3 linked regions of the Saccharomyces cerevisiae S288C genome follow. The protein of the gene in region 1 purifies or fractionates together with the protein of each later gene. This does not show direct contact. Each region holds a gene or a part of one and is shown on either strand. Other genes may lie near its edges.

Region 1 (3,418 bases):
CCATCGAACAAACCGTCACTGACCCAGTCTTGTCTTCTAAATTGAAGAGAGGTTCCAAGTCCAAGATCGAAGCTGCTTTGTCCGATGCTTTGGCTGCTTTGCAAATCGAAGACCCATCCGCTGATGAGTTGAGAAAGGCAGAAGTTGGTTTGAAGAGAGTTGTCACCAAGGCCATGTCTTCTCGTTAAGATGTCATTCTGGTTAAGGTTATACACATATATATATTTTTCATTTTTAATGTCTTAGCTTTTGTATCTTAGATGAAGTTTTAGTTCTGTATATCACGATCAAGATATCATACAATCATAAATTCAATTATTCTTCTGTTTCCCCTCTTGAGGCATCAAACGAGTGTTTGACTGATACACACCAACATACTAAGGCAACTTTTCTGGCTGCCCAAAGCTGTGGCACGTATGAAACTGCTTTTCGGCTGCATAAAACAACCATGTGGAGTTTTTACTGTATTCGCATTTCGCCCCGCTAGCATTCTTCGTTCATGCTAAAAATGAGGCGTGGGCTAATATTCAGTATTAATAATTCCGGCACCCGCACAGCCCATACCGGAAAAGGGGCTGGCTGTTGGGCTTGGCAAAAAACTCAATCTGAGCAGTCATTTATAAAGAAAGACTTTAATTTGTCTTGCTAAACACTTGTAAGCCTTCCAAATATAGATCACTTAAGACAATCTAACAAGTGTCCAAAATGTCTGCAAACGAATTCTACTCAAGTGGCCAACAAGGTCAATATAACCAGCAAAACAACCAAGAAAGAACTGGTGCTCCAAACAACGGTCAATATGGTGCCGACAATGGTAACCCCAACGGTGAACGTGGTTTATTTTCCACTATTGTAGGTGGCAGTGCCGGTGCGTACGCTGGATCTAAGGTGTCGAACAACCATTCTAAGTTGAGTGGTGTGCTGGGCGCCATAGGTGGTGCATTCCTTGCCAACAAGATATCTGATGAGCGTAAAGAGCATAAGCAACAAGAGCAATACGGCAACTCAAACTTCGGAGGTGCTCCTCAAGGTGGACACAACAACCATCACCGTCAGGACAATAACAACAATAACGGTGGATTTGGCGGTCCAGGCGGCCCTGGCGGTCAAGGTTTCGGAAGACAAGGCCCACAAGGATTTGGAGGTCCTGGTCCACAAGAGTTTGGTGGTCCAGGTGGCCAAGGATTCGGTGGTCCAAATCCTCAAGAATTCGGCGGGCCAGGTGGCCAAGGATTCGGTGGTCCAAACCCTCAGGAATTCGGGGGCCAAGGTCGTCAAGGATTCAATGGCGGTTCACGTTGGTGAATGGCTCAACAGAGTGAGTGTCATTTTTAGCTAACTACATACTTGATTTATCTATATATACATATATACTACTCGTTTTATTATGATGTCGTAACAAATGACTTATTCGAGAAAAGAAAACGTGAAAAAATAAGCTAAAAATTTGGCGATGAGGTTCTCTGTTGAAGTTGGAACCCGCAATTCATGATTTTGGTAAGGTCAAGGATCATCAGTAATTAGCTTAAAGTAAGAACTACTCAATAATATTAAACCATTTATCCTTGGCTCGTCTTTCTATTGACCAATCAATACTATTTTAAACATCTCTTCTACCACATACTTTCAATCAGACTAGAATGAAATTGGATACTTCTCATATGAGATATTTGACAACTGATGATTTTCGTGTCCTCCAGGCCGTTGAACAAGGTTCTAGAAGTCACGAAGTCGTTCCAACTCCCTTGATTCATCAAATCTCGGGGATGAGATCGCAGTCCGGAACAAACCGAGCCATTAGTGATTTGGCCAAGCTTAGCCTTATTTCCAAAATGAGAAATGTCAAATATGATGGTTACAGGCTAACTTATAACGGTATTGATTATTTGGCTTTGAAAACCATGTTAAACAGAGACACTGTCTATTCTGTCGGTAACACTATTGGTGTTGGTAAGGAATCTGACATCTATAAAGTAAGTGACAAAAATGGAAACCCTAGAGTAATGAAAATTCACAGATTAGGTAGAACCTCTTTTCATTCCGTCAGAAATAATAGAGATTATCTGAAGAAATCCAACCAGGGGGCAAACTGGATGCATCTTTCACGTTTGGCAGCCAATAAAGAATATCAGTTTATGTCCATGCTTTATTCTAAGGGTTTCAAGGTCCCTGAGCCATTCGATAACTCGCGTCATATAGTCGTTATGGAGCTTATCGAGGGTTACCCAATGAGGAGATTAAGAAAACATAAGAATATACCCAAGCTTTATAGTGATCTGATGTGTTTCATCGTTGATCTAGCAAATAGCGGACTTATCCATTGTGATTTTAATGAGTTTAATATTATGATAAAGGACAAACTAGAGGATGAAAACGATTGTGGGTTCGTAGTTATTGATTTTCCACAATGTATATCTATTCAACACCAAGACGCCGACTATTATTTCCAAAGGGATGTTGACTGTATTCGTCGTTTCTTCAAAAAGAAACTGAAGTACGAACCAAAACCTGATTCATCAATGCTCGACACTGAAGGTTTCGGCGATGGTTATAAATATGCGTATCCAGATTTCAAAAGGGACGTTAAAAGAACCGACAATTTGGATGAATTGGTGCAGGCTTCCGGATTTAGCAAAAAGCATCCAGGAGATAGGGGCCTGGAAACTGCCGTTGAAAGCATGAGAAATGCTGTTTATAATTCAGATGACGATATGTCTAATGACGAGGCCGAAGAAGAAAATGGGGAGGGCGATTATTCAGAGGAGGATGAATACTATGACTCCGAACTTGATAATGAAAGTTCTGAAGATGACAGTGAAGATGCACAAGAAGAGGAGAACGAACGTATTATAGAGGCGCTTTCCAGTGGTGTTGAAAATCTAAAAATGGATAAACTAGGAAACTATATACTAGAGTAGTTTAGTTTAGACGACTGCATAAATGGCCGCAAATAATCAAGTTGTTATCCATAATTTTTTTGATTTTTAAGCCATGTTATTCTTCAGGATAAAAAAAGTGGTATTTATGAACTCTTACATATGCGTATTCATGCTATATTATAATATCGAATCTAAGTCAATCGTATTCTACTCCGGATCCATCCTCATCATCTTCATCGTCATCATTATCAATTTCTATCGGAATATCTTCGAGTTCTAACGGCTCCTTAAACTCTTTGTATTGGAGTTCCTGTTCTGGTTGACCATTTATAGAAGCAAAACTATTATCTCTATTCAAAGCGCTTTGGCCCTTTTTGTCTTCCTCTTCATCGTCTTCTTCATCATCTTCTTCTGCTTCCTCTCCGTCTTCTGCACCGTCTGAGGATTCTTGGCCACTCCCATCGGAAAGGTCGCTCTCAGCTTCGAAATTTTGGTCATTTTCTTCATCATCGTCTGAAAACACACCTGCCTTTTTCTCG
Region 2 (3,056 bases), on another chromosome or scaffold:
TGTTGCAAAGATCTCGGCGTCGGTTCTGAATTATGGGACCCTGTTTTCATAAAGAAATTCAAAGTGGATCATTGTACTGAGAAGTTTGTGGAACATGTTACCACCAAGAGAAAGAAGAAAATTTGGTTAAGAAAGGACAGACAAGTTGAATATCCTTATAAATAGTCAATATGCGAACCATATAAGCTAATTTTAGTAAGTATATATATTCCAATACAATCACACACACACACACACACACACACACACACACATACGCATATATTGTGGTAGTGCGTAGTGTCAGTACGTCTTATCATACGCCTTCTATTTCAGGGTTAGCGTATTTTTACTATCAATATTACAATACGGATATATATACACACACCTAATATATATATTATACGTTATATTACTGCCAGTCGAAAAAGGAAGATACGATGTATTATTTTAAAATTCAATTTCTAATAAACATTAATGGAGATATACAAAAGAAGAAAATAATTAAGTTGTTATGAAATTTATAAACCTTGTTGAGCTCTTCTTCTGTCACGTTCTTCAGCAATAGACAACTTGATACCCTTACCCTTTGGCAAAGAAATGTAAGGCTTACCTTGTTCACCGATGACGAAGACATTGTTCAATCTAGTGACGAAAGTGTTGTCCAAGGAGTCCTTGATGTGAACTAAATCGAAACCACCATCGTGTCTTTCCTTGTGAACGATAGTACCGATACGACCCAAGTTACGACCACCAGTAACGTAAACCAACTTACCGGCATCGAACTTGATGAAATCAGTAATCTTACCAGAGGCCAAGTCGATCTTAACAGTGTCATTGACCTTGATGTTTGGGTCTGGGTATCTGATAGTTCTACCATCGTGGGTAACAACGTATGGAACACCCTTCTTACCTAATTGAACCTTCTTGACCTTACCCAACTTGTAAGAAGCTTCTTCATCGGTGATACGGTGGACAGCGAATCTACCCTTGACATCGTAGACCAATCTGAAGTTTTCATTGGTGGCATCTAGAGTGATGACATCCATGAAACCAGCTGGGTAGGTAGTGTCGGTTCTAACCTTACCGTCCACTTTAACGTGACGTTGCATCAAGATAGCCTTGACTTCACGGCCGTTCAAAGCATACTTTAATCTGTTTCTTAGAAAGACAATCAATGGCAAGGATTCACGCAATTTGTGTGGACCAGCAGATGGTCTTGGGGCGTAACAACCGGACAACTTGTCCAATAACCAGTGGTGTGGAGCTGCTAATCTTTTTAGATGCTTCTTTCTGTACGGAAAAAAATGAGAAAAAAGGGCAAAAATGAATGTATAATGAAGATACAGACATTTTATTTTTTTCATTGTGCTCGTTAGTAAATCATTACTCGTAAAATATTTGTACAATCCCAGGATGATCTAAAATTAAATGGACATAAACTGGTTCATTGTTGTTCCTATTCGTTTGGTTAAGACTCCACTTGTTTCTTGTCTATCATTCTTCTCATCCTTGCGTAATTATAATCAAAGTCTATAGTCAAACATACGGTCCTCTAGCCATCTTTGCGTATTGATTCTTTGGTTTGTTTTGGGCAGAAAAATCGCTATATAAGAAAGTATTTCAACACTAGATTAAATTATAGTATAATTTTTAATATACTAGTATTGCCGACAATCTCTGAAATTTCAATACTACCACACAGAACAGGACTTGCCAGGGCCAGTCCGAGCCAGCCTAACTCCAAGACCACGTACTAAGTGAATTGCTACTCCCCCTTACCACGACTACAAAGAGCTACACGGCCTCCCGGCCTAGGCCGCTGCTACTTTCAACTGATGTCACCGAAAAAAATAACGGAAAACGACAGTTCAAGAAAAAAAGAACGCAGGAAGAAAAAGGAAGCAAAATTACAGAATGTACGGCTGTTTAAAAATAAATAGTGGATGCATGGGTGCTTCCACGCGTCTCTGGGAAAAAAAACCAGGATATTTTAATGTTTGTTTATTTGTTTATTTCCTGCTGAACTGAATATTGAAAACATCGAAAAAATGCAGTACCCAGCTCTCCATTAGGACTTTTTACGTAATGACGAAAATGGACAAGCTGCGCAGGAAAGGACTACGAAAAGTATGCTGCCATAATGACAAGATAAGGCGCAACACACGTAATCATGACTAATGGTTGCACAGACGGTAGGCCAGGAGAAGGATTAGATCTCGTGCCGAACGACAGCAAGCTAGCTAGACTATGTTATCTGAGTGTAAACGAAAGCGCAGCAGTCTCTGCAAGAGCACGTGCGACGTGTCTGGTGTGCAAAAACCCTCTAGAGAAACATTGCTAAGGTTTACCGATGCAGGAAATCTTTAGTTCTAAAAGATGAAAGTCGGAAAAGCCAAAAAGAAACCGGAAATCTTCTCTGCGCATTGTTCTGTGGCCACGGCCTTCCTGGACCCGTCCTTCTTTTACCCGAACTTTGTCGCCCAAAAGGCATCTCATTATAATGACAAAACTGGATCTGCAAATATTTGGACATATATCTCCAGAACGGGCTCACTTCTCCTCTTCACCCAGGTGGTATATAGGAAGAGTAAGTGGACGCATCAGTCCGCGACATTTGCGGACTGTATATATTGCCAGTCAGGGCAGTCGCCAAGTGTGTCTCTTTCGTGTAGCGACGCACGTCAGACATGGATGCAACATCGAGGATGGAGCAGCCTGATGTCTTTGTAAGCAAACTCTACCACCTGCTGCAGGGGAACGCTTACTCGAACATAATACAATGGTCGACTGATGGCAGCAAGCTCGTCATTTGGAATCCGGACCAGTTCACCAAAGTCATCCTAGAGCGATTTTTTGGTATTCACACCTTTGCAGCATTCGTTAAGCAATTGAGCAAATATAACTTCCAGAAGGCGGGCCGCCCGGACTGCGTGGAGTTTTCCAACATTCATTTTCAAAAAGATAACATTAATAGCCTCTCACTGGTTAAAGCTCATCAGTCTGCCGCCACTCCCAATGTCGCCGCCGTCAATAATATGAATAAGCAGTGTACTTTTCACTGGGACCCTTTCAAA
Region 3 (3,897 bases), on another chromosome or scaffold:
GTAATATCACGTATATATATATATATATATATATTTATTCGAAATAAAGAGCAGAACAATTCAAGTGTTCAATTAGTATGAATGGCTATTAACATTATCGTTTCTTTCTTTTTTTATGATTTAGTCCAAAATATCACTATTCAAATCTCGCGGAGAGAAAGGGTTCGAAAATTTTGTTTTATAATATCATGATTTTGATACGAACATAAATATATATAGAAGTAAAAGAGAAAGTGTTCAGAATAATATTCACGTCAATGAATGGATATCAAAGAAAATGAATGGTTCGAAGGAACAAAAAAATCACATAAGCAATAGACCAACCGCACAACTTAATATGGACCCATTTGGAATATAGAAGCGTGCAAAGGATGTTATAAACTTTGATAAAAGCATGGAATCTTAGCCCATCTACAGATGCCAGACTGGGCGCAACAAACTTTTTTTCAGCAGTAGGCTTCTTCGCCACGGTATGACCATCGCATAACTTTCTTGCCTTGATCGGATCATCCGTGATAGCACCATGGATAGGCAATTCGCACAGATATTTGAAATCTATAGGTTTGTTGACAGTCCATAAATAGACCTTGATATCATTCTTCATAAGCACAGGTAGTAATCTCAATCTAAATTGGCTTGTCCACGAGGAGACAAAATGGACGCTGATACCAAAAAGTTTATAGTGAGGATCATTCAGTGTCAAAGAGCGCTTCACAAATTGCGAGGCGATATCTAAAGACAGACTTATCACAATAACTTTGAAATCCTTCAGAACACCAGTTTCAATACCGAAATCGTACCAATCCAGCAACCAAAGCCCCCACGTGATCCTCTCCTGCCAAAATTTAAGATCATTCTTAACCTCTAACATGATAACAAAGGTCTTGATCATGATGATTTTCTCGTTGGTAAATTTGATGTCCAACATCAATTTAGCTCCTGGATGGCACACTGCCCATGTTAGAATTTCCTTCAATGTCATCATTGCTAAGGAACCATCCTCTTTGCAGCGCAATCGCTTAACCTCCTCCCAAGTCGACTCGCCAATCACCAAGTTCTTATCCCACATCCGACCAGTGTCTGAGTCATGGTTTACCACCACCATACCATCGCTGGTCATTTGTAAATCCGTTTCTATTACATCAGCACCTGCTGCATAAGCCTTCTCAAATGCTAGTAGCGTATTTTCAGGATATCTTGCTTTAAAAGCTCTGTGGCCCACAATTTCAACCATCCTCGTGTCCTTGTTGTTATCTTACACTTCTTATTTATCAATAACACTAGTAACATCAACAACACCAATTTTATATCTCCCTTAATTGTATACTAAAAGATCTAAACCAATTCGGTATTGTCCTCGATACGGCATGCGTATAAAGAGATATAATTAAAAGAGGTTATAGTCACGTGATGCAGATTACCCGCAACAGTACCACAAAATGGATACCATCTAATTGCTATAAAAGGCTCCTATATACGAATAACTACCACTGGATCGACGATTATTTCGTGGCAATCATATACCACTGTGAAGAGTTACTGCAACTCTCGCTTTGTTTCAACGCTTCTTCCCGTCTGTGTATTTACTACTAATAGGCAGCCCACGTTTGAATTTCTTTTTTTCTGGAGAATTTTTGGTGCAACGAGGAAAAGGAGACGAAGAAAAAAAGTTGAAACACGACCACATATATGGAACGTGGTTGAAATACAAAGAGAAGAAAGGTTCGACACTCGAGGAAAGCATTTGGTGGTGAAAACACATCTTAGTAGCATCTTTAAACCTCTGTTGGGTACTTAGAAAAATATTTCCAGACTTCAAGGATAAAAAAAGTCGAAAAGTTACGACATATTCGACCAAAAAAAAAAACCAAAAAGAAAAGATATATTTATAGAAAGGATACATTAAAAAGAGATGGACTTAAGAGTAGGAAGGAAATTTCGTATTGGCAGGAAGATTGGGAGTGGTTCCTTTGGTGACATTTACCACGGCACGAACTTAATTAGTGGTGAAGAAGTAGCCATCAAGCTGGAATCGATCAGGTCCAGACATCCTCAATTGGACTATGAGTCCCGCGTCTACAGATACTTAAGCGGTGGTGTGGGAATCCCGTTCATCAGATGGTTTGGCAGAGAGGGTGAATATAATGCTATGGTCATCGATCTTCTAGGCCCATCTTTGGAAGATTTATTCAACTACTGTCACAGAAGGTTCTCCTTTAAGACGGTTATCATGCTGGCTTTGCAAATGTTTTGCCGTATTCAGTATATACATGGAAGGTCGTTCATTCATAGAGATATCAAACCAGACAACTTTTTAATGGGGGTAGGACGCCGTGGTAGCACCGTTCATGTTATTGATTTCGGTCTATCAAAGAAATACCGAGATTTCAACACACATCGTCATATTCCTTACAGGGAGAACAAGTCCTTGACAGGTACAGCTCGTTATGCAAGTGTCAATACGCATCTTGGAATAGAGCAAAGTAGAAGAGATGACTTAGAATCACTAGGTTATGTCTTGATCTATTTTTGTAAGGGTTCTTTGCCATGGCAGGGTTTGAAAGCAACCACCAAGAAACAAAAGTATGATCGTATCATGGAAAAGAAATTAAACGTTAGCGTGGAAACTCTATGTTCAGGTTTACCATTAGAGTTTCAAGAATATATGGCTTACTGTAAGAATTTGAAATTCGATGAGAAGCCAGATTATTTGTTCTTGGCAAGGCTGTTTAAAGATCTGAGTATTAAACTAGAGTATCACAACGACCACTTGTTCGATTGGACAATGTTGCGTTACACAAAGGCGATGGTGGAGAAGCAAAGGGACCTCCTCATCGAAAAAGGTGATTTGAACGCAAATAGCAATGCAGCAAGTGCAAGTAACAGCACAGACAACAAGTCTGAAACTTTCAACAAGATTAAACTGTTAGCCATGAAGAAATTCCCCACCCATTTCCACTATTACAAGAATGAAGACAAACATAATCCTTCACCAGAAGAGATCAAACAACAAACTATCTTGAATAATAATGCAGCCTCTTCTTTACCAGAGGAATTATTGAACGCACTAGATAAAGGTATGGAAAACTTGAGACAACAGCAGCCGCAGCAGCAGGTCCAAAGTTCGCAGCCACAACCACAGCCCCAACAGCTACAGCAGCAACCAAATGGCCAAAGACCAAATTATTATCCTGAACCGTTACTACAGCAGCAACAAAGAGATTCTCAGGAGCAACAGCAGCAAGTTCCGATGGCTACAACCAGGGCTACTCAGTATCCCCCACAAATAAACAGCAATAATTTTAATACTAATCAAGCATCTGTACCTCCACAAATGAGATCTAATCCACAACAGCCGCCTCAAGATAAACCAGCTGGCCAGTCAATTTGGTTGTAAGCAACATATATTGCTCAAAACGCACAAAAATAAACATATGTATATATAGACATACACACACACATATATATATATATATTATTATTATTATTTACATATACGTACACACAATTCCATATCGAGTTAATATATACAATTCTGGCCTTCTTACCTAAAAAGATGATAGCTAAAAGAACCACTTTTTTTATGCATTTTTTTCTTCGGGAAGGAAATTAAGGGGGAGCGGAGCACCTCTTGGCCAATTTGTTTTTTTTTTATGTAATAAAGGGCTAACGATCGAAGATCAATCACGAATATTGGACGGTTTTAAAGGAGGGCCTCTGAGAAGACAGCATCAATTCGTATTTTCGATAATTAACTTGCCTTATAGTGTCTGATTAGGAAACAATCACGAGACGATAACGACGGAATACCAAGGAAGTTTGTGCAAATATACAGCCGGCACAAACAGCAGCTTCACTCAGGTTAACTCACATACTGTTGAAAATTGTCGGTATGGA

Evidence for each region.
Region 2: the proteins of RIO2 (region 1) and RPS4A purify together in Saccharomyces cerevisiae (affinity purification with mass spectrometry; 5 studies listed by BioGRID). This does not show direct contact.
Region 3: the proteins of RIO2 (region 1) and HRR25 purify together in Saccharomyces cerevisiae (affinity purification with mass spectrometry; 8 studies listed by BioGRID, with this or other methods). This does not show direct contact.

The regions. Positions count from the first base shown.
Region 1 is NC_001146.8:253,713-257,130, forward strand, and holds RIO2 (protein kinase RIO2), read left to right. Parts: upstream 1-1,640; coding exon 1,641-2,918; downstream 2,919-3,418. Other genes in the region: Hsp70 family ATPase SSB2, read left to right, coding at 1-188; YNL208W (uncharacterized protein), read left to right, coding at 706-1,305; RTT106 (Rtt106p), read right to left, coding at 3,076-3,418. UniProt on the Saccharomyces cerevisiae protein: Required for the final endonucleolytic cleavage of 20S pre-rRNA at site D in the cytoplasm, converting it into the mature 18S rRNA. Involved in normal export of the pre-40S particles from the nucleus to the cytoplasm.
Region 2 is NC_001142.9:701,527-704,582, forward strand, and holds RPS4A (40S ribosomal protein eS4 RPS4A), read right to left. Parts: upstream 1,543-3,056; coding exon 1,529-1,542; intron 1,273-1,528; coding exon 501-1,272; downstream 1-500. Other genes in the region: MGM101 (Mgm101p), read left to right, coding at 1-165; YJR146W (uncharacterized protein), read left to right, coding at 2,359-2,712; HMS2 (Hms2p), read left to right, coding at 2,670-3,056.
Region 3 is NC_001148.4:162,364-166,260, forward strand, and holds HRR25 (serine/threonine protein kinase HRR25), read left to right. Parts: upstream 1-1,912; coding exon 1,913-3,397; downstream 3,398-3,897. Other genes in the region: PGC1 (phosphatidylglycerol phospholipase), read right to left, coding at 269-1,234; cAMP-dependent protein kinase catalytic subunit TPK2, read left to right, coding at 3,893-3,897. UniProt on the Saccharomyces cerevisiae protein: Protein kinase which phosphorylates serine and threonine residues. Can use casein as a substrate. Phosphorylates elongator complex member ELP1/IKI3 on 'Ser-1198' and 'Ser-1202' which promotes the tRNA modification function of the complex.